Linked DNA regions of Macaca fascicularis. The main gene of each other region encodes a partner of the protein of the gene in region 2 in a complex. Links are inferred from orthologs where the notes say so. Each region holds a gene or a part of one and is shown on either strand. Other genes may lie near its edges. The genes, in order: YEATS2, DR1 and MBIP.

Evidence for each region.
Region 1: DR1 (region 2) and YEATS2 share a complex: the UniProt entries of both Homo sapiens proteins name them as parts of the ADA2A-containing complex. The link is inferred for Macaca fascicularis from reciprocal best matches to the Homo sapiens genes DR1 and YEATS2.
Region 3: DR1 (region 2) and MBIP share a complex: the UniProt entries of both Homo sapiens proteins name them as parts of the ADA2A-containing complex. The link is inferred for Macaca fascicularis from reciprocal best matches to the Homo sapiens genes DR1 and MBIP.

Annotation. Positions count from the first base shown.
Region 1 is NC_088376.1:95,715,993-95,719,639, forward strand, and holds part of YEATS2 (YEATS domain-containing protein 2), read left to right. Parts: intron 1-648; coding exon 649-747; intron 748-1,904; coding exon 1,905-2,007; intron 2,008-2,884; coding exon 2,885-2,958; intron 2,959-3,647. UniProt on the Homo sapiens protein: Chromatin reader component of the ATAC complex, a complex with histone acetyltransferase activity on histones H3 and H4. YEATS2 specifically recognizes and binds histone H3 crotonylated at 'Lys-27' (H3K27cr).
Region 2 is NC_088375.1:141,054,444-141,058,665, reverse strand, and holds the start of DR1 (protein Dr1), read left to right. Parts: upstream 1-1,331; 5' UTR 1,332-2,055; coding exon 2,056-2,275; intron 2,276-4,222. UniProt on the Homo sapiens protein: The association of the DR1/DRAP1 heterodimer with TBP results in a functional repression of both activated and basal transcription of class II genes.
Region 3 is NC_088381.1:104,153,986-104,158,372, forward strand, and holds the start of MBIP (MAP3K12-binding inhibitory protein 1), read right to left. Parts: upstream 2,801-4,387; 5' UTR 2,682-2,800; coding exon 2,553-2,681; exon of another isoform or gene 2,321-2,552; intron 1-2,320. UniProt on the Homo sapiens protein: Inhibits the MAP3K12 activity to induce the activation of the JNK/SAPK pathway. Component of the ATAC complex, a complex with histone acetyltransferase activity on histones H3 and H4.

The DNA.
Region 1 (3,647 bases), on a different chromosome or scaffold from region 2:
ATGCTAGGGCTCCAACGCCAGGACTCAAAACCCAAATGTTCGTTGGCTTCTAAATAGCTGCCCTTATCTAAAGTTGAGTTGAAGGGGGAATATTTTAAGTGTTTATAAGAATTTACATTAATTGGATTGTTGTTTTCCTTTCCTTTTTTTTTTTGAAACAGAGTTTTGCTCTGTCGCCAAGGGTGGAGTGCAGTGGCAAGATCTCGGCTCACTGCAACCTCCGCCTCCTGGGTTCAAGCAGTTCTCATGCCTCAGTCTCCTGAGTAGCTGGCTAATTTTTGTATTTTTTTAGTAAAGACGGGGTTTCACCATGTTGCCCAGTCTGGTCTTGAACTCCTGACCTCAGAAGATCCACCTGCCTTGGCCCCCCAAAGTACTGGGATTACAGGCGTGAGCCACTGTGCCTGGCCTGGCTTGTTACTTTCTTAGTTTAGTGACAGGCTCCTGTTTCTACAGTTGAAGATATACCTCAGTTACCCTCATACCTAATAATCACCCACTAGTAAAAAGGGACTTTGCAATTCCTGTTGTCCTCAAGTTGTCTGTGTGCTGTTCGTCTCATGTGGGGTTATCACCTGGGAGTTAGATCACCTTCATTAAAAATAATCTCTGTATTTGTTATATCCCTCCCTCCTTTTCTCCCTTTAGTGGTTCAGTCATTTTCTACCAGCAAGCCACCTGCCATTCTGCCTGTAGCTGCCCCAACTCCACTTGTCCCCAGCTCTGCTCCAGCAGCTGTTGCAAAAGGTACATAGGATCTCACAGAGTTCTTGTCCAGAAGTTTTGTTGTTTATCTTTTTTGTTGTCGTTCACGTTCTCTTCTGATGTCCAGAAGTTTTATGCAGGACATTACCATAATCTGAATCTTTTGAATTTTCAGCATTTGCAAATCAACCACTTGGCAAATGTGTCCTAAATACTCATATGGTAGACTTAACATTGAGGGAAACACAGAGATGTATAAAGGATCATTTCTACCCTTTAATAAATTTATAATAAGGTTGAAAAGAATTGCTGTAGACAGCAAGCAATCATTGATAAACACAAGACATGTGGCCAGGGAAATGATTGCTGAAATATTGCAGTTTGGGATGTCTGATCAGGGTTGGCAGGGGGTGTGGAGAAGGGCAAGACTTTGTATTGACCATGGATTATAACCTGGACTTTAAAAGAGTAGAGGTTTTTTAGCTGTGGGGAGTCAAGGGGTATGCCAGATTAAGGGCACAAGAGAGACAAAGACTCAGCTTCCCCTTTGGAGAAGTGGCAAGTTAGAGGGACTCATTTGGGGAGTATAGTTGTGGTAAAGGAGGTTTAGGTAGGGGCCAGACTTTGGCGAGCTGGCAGTGGGAGACATTTCCGCCCACAAGAGTAGATCAGGATAGCACGGTGGATTAGAGCAACACGCTGACATTGATAACATCAGTGTCCAAGCACAGGCGATCTGATTTTTGCTTTCTGCCTTGTGTCTCAGAACGCTAAGATAATGCTGCAAGTTGATAAACTAGCTGGAGAGATGATATTGGAAAGGTCACAATATTAGAACTTAGAACAAACCAGCATTGTACTTCAATGTAGCATTGTTAAATCACATGTGTGGGGAGGGGGTGAGGGATCTTACACAGCAGTATGGGTGGCCCTTTAAGAAATATCTGAGGAGCCATTTTATTGCCCCCGCCCTGTCATGAGGCTGGAGTTGTCCCCCCTGAGACCCAGGCTAACAGTTCTTCCCTTGTCTGATGACCCTGGGATGATAGGAGCCATCTCAGTCCCCTGGCTGTGTCCCCGCAACAGCTGGAGTGGCAGTTTCCTTGCTGAGCTTCACTGCAGGAGCTTTGTTTGTGCCTGCACATGTCCTTCCACTGCTAACCCCTAACAGCTGCCTCTTTGTTGCTCTTGCCTTGTAGTGAAGACTGAACCAGAAACACCTGGGCCGAGCTGCCTCTCTCAGGAGGGTCAGACAGCAGTGAAAACAGAAGAAAGTTCTGAGCTGGGAAACTATGTCATTAAGTAATTCTTCCAGTCTTTCCTAAAGGAATTCCGCTTTGGGTGTTTGTCACACCTGTGACAGCTGAGTATGTGCAGAGTTGTGTGTGTAGCTCTAAGCCCTTGATGGGAGGAACTGTCTGTGCCTGTGTAGTGGACAAGTGATGCACAGCTGAGGGTCATCATTTTATACAGTGGTGTGACTGGAGGTGGCACTTGATTTGTAGCCTTAGAAGCCTCAGATGGGATTAGACCTCCCTTCAGTTGAGGTTGCCAGCGTGGGCTTTCTCTGCTGAGCCCCTGGGCGCAAAATTTCTCCTGTAGCCATCACTCAGGTGTATACGTGCTTTGTGACTGGGTGTCCACACGCCTGCCTAATCTTAGCTGCCTCTTCATGGGCTATACACACTCTTTGCTTCTTCTAAAATGCTTTCTGAGGTTTCGTAATTTCTAAATCAGGAAGCCACTTCTGACCAGCTACTTTTAAGTATCTCAAACCGCTGGGGACAATAGAAACTTAGCCCTTTAATATGGTAGATGGAGGCGTGAACTGTAATAACCCTAAGATGGGCATACAGAATTTTTCTCCCCTAGTAGCAGTCACATTGCAAAAAGATTATATTGCTATTTAATTTTAAGGTGTAGATTAACTGTCTGTAATACGCGCATAATCTTCCATTCCTGGGATCTTATTTAGTCTTGACATTTTCTTTTTAAGCATAGAACACCTTTCCTTTACAAAGAAGGTAATCTATGGAAGGAAAGACATGTTAATATGATGTTTTTACATTATAATTCCCTCAGAATGGAATATATCCATTAAGTATATGGCATACATATGGCTATAGAAACTGCTACATGTATTTAATTTATTGCCTTATTTTTTTTTTATCCTTCTCAGGATAGACCATTTAGAGACTATCCAGCAACTCTTAACAGCAGTAGTAAAGAAGATTCCATTAATCACTGCAAAAAGTAAGACAATTACACTGAATATAGGGGTGCATTTTTTAAAGCCGTGAATTTAAGGTATTGAGTCAACTGAAATCACTTGGGTTTGTAAATTAATATTGATAATGGCAGTTACCTTATAAGGTTTCAGCTAGAGATACAGCTCATTTGCAAGGGTTTTAGAATTCATATGCAGTTAGTTTTTTATTCTTTTTACTGTGTTGTTCTTTAGAAGGAATGTTTTACATTTTTCATATGTAAATCATAAATTGTTTTGTATGCAGTTAAAACTCTGTATTAGCATTTGGCGTTTATGAGTGAGGAAAGCATTTAGTGTTTGCCTGCAGTGTACCAGGTCCTGTGCAGGCTGGGTACGTTCACTGTCTCATATAATCCCAGCCTCCTGTGTGGTAGCTGGTGTCATCTGCATTTACAGATGAGGAAACTGAGGATAAACAGGGTTGAATAACTTGCTTGAGATCACAGAGCCATGGGTGGTGAAACAGGATACAAACCTGGTTCTGTTTGACTCTAAGACCGTTCATCTTTCCTCTGAAACTCAGTATTGCACACTGTAGAAATGCACAGTTTTTAAGACCTCCCAAAGTGGTGTGCTGTGTCACTCCCATCGTTAGCTAGATTGAGTAAATTGCTGCTTAGCCCCAGTTGTTTTGATAGAATCAATAACCCTTGCTGAGGGGCCAGCAGCCTGC
Region 2 (4,222 bases):
CCTCTTATTCCACACGACAGTATGACAAACCTAGTTTGTCTTTTTTTTTTTTTTTTAACGTTTTTTGAGACAAAGACTCTTTCTCTGTCACCCAGGCTGGAAATGCAATGGCACAATCGCAGCTCACTGCAGCCTTGACCCCCTGGGCTCAATCAATCCTCCCACCTTACCCTCCAGAGTAGCCAGAACTACTGTGCCTGCCACCAAGCCCGGTGGAAAAAAAAAAACCCGTAAGAGTGTCATACTGTCATATGGGAGAAGAGGCTATACTATAAACAGTGGGATATTGGAATGAATACACACACACACACACACACACACAGATATTTGTAGGGACGGGTCTCACATGTTGCCCAGGGGGGTCCTGAACTCCTGGGCTCATGTGATCTCCCTGCCTCAGCCTCCCAAAGTGTTGGGTTTACAGGTATGATGAACCACAGCGCCCGGCTGACACACTTTTTAAAATGCAATTTCTGTTTAGATCTTGACACCTGTTGATATTACTAGTCACTATGGAAAGAAGCAAAAACAGTTAAGATGCTCTAACATTTTTTTTTCCCCTGTAGAAGCCAACATGGAATACACCATGAAAACTGTCTAAATGGGAACCTTCTAATACGGCTCATTGTACGCCATGCATTTCCACTACGTTGGAACTGACTTCTACTCTCCTACTTATCTATTAGGCGACTTAGTCGCCTAGTCGCCTCTAGGCAAGTAACTTCTCTGTTTCATTTTCCACGCAGTAAAAAAAAAAAAAAAAGGTGGAGGACTTTAGAGAGCTTTTACCCGAATAAGGTCTATTAGACATCTTCAAAAGCTTTCTCTCCAGACGACGCAGAAACAGGCACACGGGATTCTGTGCTTTCCCCACCTCCCACTCCCAAGCCCAGGCCCCATTCTTCTCACTTTCAATCCTCATTTGGGCTCCTAAAAGAATAGCAAAGAGAGTTCTTTTATCAATACCAGCGCTCCTCTGTCCCCAAATCCGGCTAGGGATGGGTTCGGAGGCCTCAGCTGCTGGAGAGAGGGTAGAGACGATCCTTCCTCGCCCATCTAGCCAGCCACCACCCCTTCCCAGATCTAGCGTCCGGGCCCCTGACCAAGCGCGTGCTTGGAGCTCTCCGGTACAGTGACGCGCGCGCTTGCCCGGCTAGGGCCCCTGTGAAGGAATGGGATCCCGAGGTGCTTGCCAGGACCGCAGCAGGCGGAAGCTGCTGGCAGCGGGAACGGGCGGCTCCCGTCGGCGTGGGTGGGGGAAGGGCGGCAGCCACATCCGGAAGTCGGTCCGGGAGGGAGGGGGAAATCTGAGGAACGAAGCTTCCGGCGGCGCAAAGGGTGTCGGGAGCGGCTTCCTGCAAATCTTCCCTGGCCTCTGGAGGGACCACCGTTGCCGCCGCTTCGGCTTCCAGGATCTGCGTTCGGGTTACGCGGCCACGGTGGCAGCCACTGCGACTCCCACTGTGCCTGGCTCTGTCCATATTAGTTCCCAGGCGGCCGTCGCCGTTCCAGCAGCGGCAGCGGCGGACATGTTGTGAGGCGGCGGCGCGGGTGTCTGAAGGATGGTTTGGCCGAGGCGGCGGCAACGGCTGCTGGCGGCGGCGGCAGCGGCAGCGGGGCCTCGGGCTCTATAGAGCCGAGCCCGCTGGGTACCCGCCCGGTACCGCGGCGAGGCCAGTGCCCCTGGATCTTGCCTCTGCTTCGACGCCGTTGGGGACCAGTTAGGCGACAGTGCCCGCCCCTCTGAGGAGACCCGAAGGTGGTTCCCCAGCCGCTCAAATTTCCGGACCACCGCGCTTTCCCCTCAGCCTGGGCTGTGCTCTCTCTAGAATCCTCAGGCCCCCACTTTCTTCCCAAACTCATCCTAAATCTCTCACACACGCGAGCGTTCCCAGCCCTCAAGCCAGCTCCTCCTCCGTTCATTTTCTGCACCCTCTTCGCGAAGCACCCCCCGGGATCACTCTCCGAGGGCGGCTTTTTGAGAGATCTCCGTGGAGTAGTGGACCAGAGCCGGGGAGTTTTTAAAAGCCGGGGCGCGAGAAACAGGAAGGTACTATGGCTTCCTCGTCTGGCAACGATGATGATCTCACTATCCCCAGAGCTGCTATCAATAAAATGATCAAAGAGACTCTTCCTAATGTCCGGGTGGCCAACGATGCTCGAGAGCTGGTGGTGAACTGCTGCACTGAATTCATTCACCTTATATCTTCTGAAGCCAATGAGATTTGTAACAAATCGGAAAAGAAGACCATCTCACCAGAACATGTCATACAAGGTAAGTCATGTGTGGAAATTGGTTTGAATGAGGGTCTAGGGGAGCAGTCTGCTAATCGCGTGACGCTTTCATGTCAAAGCCTTCATTCCTCTTCACTGGTAAGTAACTTAATGAAAAAGCCAGACTGGCATGTAGGTAGCCCGTGCTTTAAAAACAATCCCTTTGTAGCATTCTTGCAGTACTTTTCATCTAGCGAATACACGTTAAGGAGTGCAAACATTTAGGTCAACGTCCCCAAAACATAAAGAGTGATCTCACTTTACAGCCAGGTAAGCCGAAGCAACAGGAATTGCTTGCCTGAAGTTGAACTTAGATAATAATTAAGGAACGCAGAAGTTCTCCCTTGGAAAATTAAAAATTCAGACAGAGGAACTTCAAGCATGGATGGAGACAGAGCGCCCCTTCCCCACCTGACCTTTCACCAATGTAGAGGAAAAGATTTATTTTCTGAACACATGAGTTAAAAAATTCTTAATATACAATGTGTTCAACGTTGTCAAGTTTATCGTTGTTGAATAAAAGGAGGTATGTTTTCTGCTCTAAAAATGGTTTGATGGTACGTTCATGAATGAGTTACGAAAGCACTCCTGGTCCATTCTGTAAGAAAAGGGTGAACTTTAAATTTTTGTTTTTTTCTTTTTGTTTGCCTTTATGTCGTTTGCTTTGTTCTATTCTGTGGAGATAAGTTTTAAAATCTTTGATTGAAAGTTTATGCAAGTTTTTTTTTTTTAACGGAAAATTTCCCCGTCCTTTCCTGCTGTCATTCTTATTTGGATGCATACACTTAGGCTTTTATTGAACAGCACTTCTGAAAGCTTCAACAGTTTCTTTTATCCTGAAAAGGTTGTGGTCCCGTAATAGGGATTTGGGGGACTGTATTCTAATGGTTTCAGAGAGGAGAAACATATTTACTAGTCATAATGTTTCGGGAATGTACCTTTTGCGATATTTTTACATGTACTCTTGTGAAAGAGTTGTTCTCAATTTGAAGTGAGAACTTGCCTTTCGTAATAATCTAATTAAAAGTATTGATTGCTTGTGAAACCAGGGAAAAAATGGTTAATTTTAATCATTTTGGTAGGCAGGTGGTTGTCTGTCACTTAATTTTTATACTTTAACTTTTTAAAATGTGACTTGCCTGTTGTACTGAAGTAGAGAACACATCTGCTTCTGTTGACCATATCCAATATTTTACTGTCAGTATTGACAAAAGGATTAAATGATTGATTTTTAATCCTTTATGACGTCTTGAAAGTAGTTTTAAAATATATCCTGCCATTTCAGTACATAAGGAGAAAAATCCCTAGGAAAAAGCATATTTGATTCTTAAAACTAGTACTAGTTGTTTTTTTTTTTTTTTCTACTTGATGTGCTGAATACTCTAGCAAGTAAAATGAAAGCCAAGTTGTCTGTTTTTTCTCTTGTGTATTTATTTTTACATTGTATGTGTGATTGCTGTCATAAGTCTTTCACAAGATTATCCAGCACAGATAGCTGTAATTTCTTTTTACAACTCATAAAAAGGAAAAAGAACTTTTTATCAACATTGCCTTTCTAATGAAAATTGCAAAAGATTTCAACAGGGTCTGCCTAAATATTTGTTTACACTACAGAAGTGGGGATCGTTCCAAAAACCTAATAACACATTACAGTCTGTCTTCTTGGGGAGAGTTAATTCTTTTCTAGGATATATTTAGATTTCTGATTGACATGATGGAATAGAAGTGCAGCTGTAGCAAGCAGTATGCTAAATAATTCAACTTTGGAATATGCTAAATTCAGTTTAATGTGTGAGTCAGAAAGCTATAGTGAAAAAGCATTTCCATTGTGTAATGAAGATGATTTGTTTTTGAAAATCATGTATTGACGTGTTATAGTCTTAAAATTTTACCTCTTTTTTTTGTATTATGCTATTGTTAGGTGGATAAGAATCTACATTTTCGCCCA
Region 3 (4,387 bases), on a different chromosome or scaffold from region 2:
TATTGAATACTTTGTGACAGAAATGAAGATGAGAACAGAAGCATTTAGAAGTCCATATTAGACAAGCGTAAAGATACATGAAATTTCATGTAGGCTGCACTGGCAAAGATTATAATATGTTAAGATTTTACGTTAAAGTGAATGCATTCATTTACATTATTTTAATTCCTATAAAGATTTTGTTAGACAACAACCTGTATTATGTATGGAAGTAACCTATTATTGTACTTTCATAGTCTTCAAAGAGATCTACAGTTGATCACAGAAAACTTAAGAATACAGCTTGGGGATAAAGCAGGCAAATCCTCAACCAAAGCAAAGTATCACATTTTCTAGAGAAAATAACTTATAGAAAAATAAGTCTTAATGTTTCGTTCATAGTGTCATTTCAATTCAGCAGAATTACATAAGCTTCAAGTGCAATTAAGAATAACTGGTCTTTTAAGAAACTCACATAATAATGTCACAAATTAATTTAAAACTATTCTAATACACCTAACTATTCATTCAACAAATTCATTATTAGTAATATGAATTCTATGCATTTTGCCCTACAGAACTTGGAAGAGTAAACCATTCACTCGAAAATCTCTATTAGTCTGCTATTAATATAGACTATTTAAATAAATATTTTCAGTAAACACTTTACTAAATTAATACAAAAATCCAAGCTAAAAATAAGTAAGTGTTTAGCTTGGTAAGATGGACCATCCAGAGGCAAGCAAAAAGGTTAAAATTAGTAAATTTTGTGATCTTAAGTAAAAAATTCTTTTTAACATTCAGTTTTATGTTTCCTACTGAGATCTAATAATACAATGATACTTAGGGATGACACAGGATGAAGTTAGGCATGTTACAACATACCTTCTAGAAATCTTTTAAAGTGGTTGCAAAAGAAAATACTGATTTCTCTGGGGGCAATTTTGCAAGTGTGGAACTCTGGCTTTCACTCTTAATACTTCTCAAAATATAGAGTATTATGAAAACAGTTTGCATTTAACTGATGAAACAATCATATTTTTGACACCTGTATAGGAGGTCCCTTCACTGTGTCATGGTAAAGTAACCAAATATTTACTGTCAACATTTTTGACAGGTGACACAAATAAATTGTAATCGCTTCTTTACTTGTAGAGTACTTGAATGTTTAAAATTTTCTAATGAGTTTGAAAAATTCAGTATGCTAAATGTTTCAAAAGAAACGTTTAAATCATTGCTCAGTATTTTTTAAAAATATTCCATCTTCTGTTAATAGGTGAGCATAAACTTTTTTCATCTTGACATTAGAAAATAAACAAACTTAAGTTCCAACGTCGCCATAAAAAGTTCTCTAACTTTTAAACCATTTAAAAGGTCTTGGGTCTTAAGACTGGAATATATAACAAAACACCCCAAGCCTTTAAAAAACGATTTCGGTAAGCACTTGGCAAACAACTGAATTTAAAAGTTGTATCTTTAAGCAGACTCCATTAATAATTGCGTCATTACATAAAACCGTTTAACTTACAGTAATGTTCTTTGTAAGACACAACACACTATGATTTTTTAAAATAGTAACTTTTTAAAAAGCTGATTCTCCATCTACTCAAGGCTTTAAAAATAATTTTCACAAATCAGACAAATGTTCTATTTTCATAAGAATTTACCATTATCTTTGACACAAATGCCTGCCGTGTCCACATGCGCTAGTGCCAGCCTCAAAACAAACTTTTACGGCTAGAAAATGGTCTATGTAAGATAGAAAACATTTCCTTTTAAAAGGCAGGTAAACAAGCGTACTTTTAAATTGTTTCTCATTTAAAACTTGCTTTTAATTTTACACCGTGAAACGAAACAGTGACTTGATCGAAGAAGCCCACTAAATTCAAAACCAATTTTACTATGGCATTTCTGCAAAAGCGATTTATCAGTCAGTTAAACTAGTTAATAGTTAAATAACGACAGTTCTAAACGCAAACAGCATCAACGATGGATAACTCATCCAACTTTACGCTAGAAGTATTTTAAACGAATTCCTTTTACTTTCCTCCCCATTTGAAAGGGTTATAGATGCCCAAAACAGCCCCAAGGAAAAAAGAAATAAACAAAACCAAGTAACTCATAAGAACAAATTACTCCTTCCCCCCGGCCAAGAAAAAGCTAATAAGCGCGCGCTTTTCTATAAATCTCAGGCCTACTGACCAACCAATTCCCATAAAGAGTAAGTTGGAGGAAAAAGGACCCTGAGCGCTAGGCGCCTCCTAAATTCGCAGTGAAGCTTTTCCACATTCATTCTCCCCAAGCCTGCCTCTTTCGGAGCCGGGTTTTCACTTAGACCAACCTCACCCACTCTTGGAGAGGACAGCTGCAAGGTAAACTACTCGGCTACGGGTACCGCCGTCCTCCTCACTCCGAGCGAGGCGGCTGGGCCCGCGCTCCTCCCCGACCTCGGCTTCAGGGACGGCATCCCACACTTCAGCAGGCCTAGCTGCCCCCGGCCCCTGCTAGAAGAAAAGAATGGAGGGATGGGCCGGATGGCTTCCATATTCCCAGTCCCTCCGGCCACCTCTCACCTGTCCAACCAGGGTTTGTAGGGAGCGAAAGATTTCGTAGAGCACCTCTCGGGAGAGGCTAGGGCTGCATCTTCGCTCCAGGCTCCTGTCACCGCTGTTCGGGCGACTAAGCTCCGTGGCAGCAGCCATGATGCCTTTTCAGGCCGCCCCACCACCACCACCACCAACACCACCACCAACACCACCACCAACACCACCACCAACGTTTGCTCACAACCCCGCTCCCTCCCTTCCAGCTTTAGTCGCTTGGCGATGACGTACGACACGGCGTCTCGTTTAGATCAGGCTTTGAGGCCCCACCCTCTCTATGTGACTGACAAGCACGTTACACCAATCAGTTGCAACTGCGACATTACGCCGAGGCTCTGAAGTGGGAAATTGCAGACCAAAGCTAGGCTGGAAGGCTATATTTGAGGTGGTTATTAGCGTTGTGGTCTGTTTAGCGTTATGAAGCCTACCTTGACTCCCAGATGTTCACTGTGAATCTTGGTAAGAGGAGACATAGTTAAATTTTGTAGTTTGAGTCCCCAAATTAAAAGTTGACATTTTAACATGGCGGTGTGGAGTGGTTCTGGAGGAAGCTTGCTGGTCAGGGATGGAGTGGTGCCCGCAAGTGTTTCTAAACACTGGAAAACTCACACGGAATTGTCATGGTTGGATAGAACATTTTCATCTCTTCAAGTTTTAAGTTGTTGTTTTGGAGGCAGAGTCTCACTCTGTCGCCCAGACTGGAGTGCAGTTGCGCCATCTCAGCTCACTGCAACCTCCGCCTCCCAGTTTCAACCTGCCTCAACCTCCTGAGTAACTGAAACTACAGTTGATATTCTCCATTATAACTGTAGAGACTCTTAACCCTAAAATTGTTTCAAAGAAATGAAACACTGTCAATATAATCCAACAGGAATTTAACCTGGATAAATAATATGCAACCACAATCTTTGAAATTAGGACATAAAACCGAATTGAAATTTTACAAAGTATTATTTATCATAATAGCTTTATTATAAAGATGTTCGTGGGGTTTTGTAATCTTTTAGTCAGACTCCAATATTTTTAAAAAGTGTTATCCAATTTTAAAAAGTATTACAAGAATTTTTAGTGTCAAATTTTATTCAAAAACACTTTAAGAAATAAACATCAGCTTAGAGATAAGGAAGGTGGGATTTAAAACTCTTCATTCTGTTAATAGTCTAATGCATTTACAGTAGAGAAAGCAAAGGTGGAAACTTGCACAATGTGTATTCTTTAGTTTTAGGGTAGACTACATTAAAGGGAAGGACTAACGCATCGAGGAACTAGGATAAGGACGATGGAGATAAAAGAACTCCTTTGACCTGTCCCTAGGGAGTCTCTTAATTAGGCTTTCATTTCCAAAGACAAATGGGATCACCAGGCTTGACAGAATCTTGGAAAATCTTTTCTGTTCCCTTGTTGGCAGCAAGATATACAACTGATATTCCAGCCTATGTCTACAGCCAGAAAGATACTTCGCAATGTCCAATCTCAAATTGAGCAACCTTCTTATTCAAGCCACTCATCCCCATATCTAGCCTAAATTCATGATTCTTTGCCATGTTAGCATGTTTTGTTTGCTTCTGGTTCTCTTGTTAATAGAGAATAATTGTAATGGGGTAACTGTAGGTTTTTGTTCTGTACCAAATTAGCAATCAGTTTCAGATCACTTGTTTGCATTGAGGTGTTTCATATTTTTTCAAATATGGAGAACACTGATATGCAGCACATTTGGGAATATGCTTTGTACATTAAAAAAAATGTTGTCTTTAACAAGGTGCTGCTCATTCCTTTCTTTGCCATCACTGATTTTGAATTTTCAA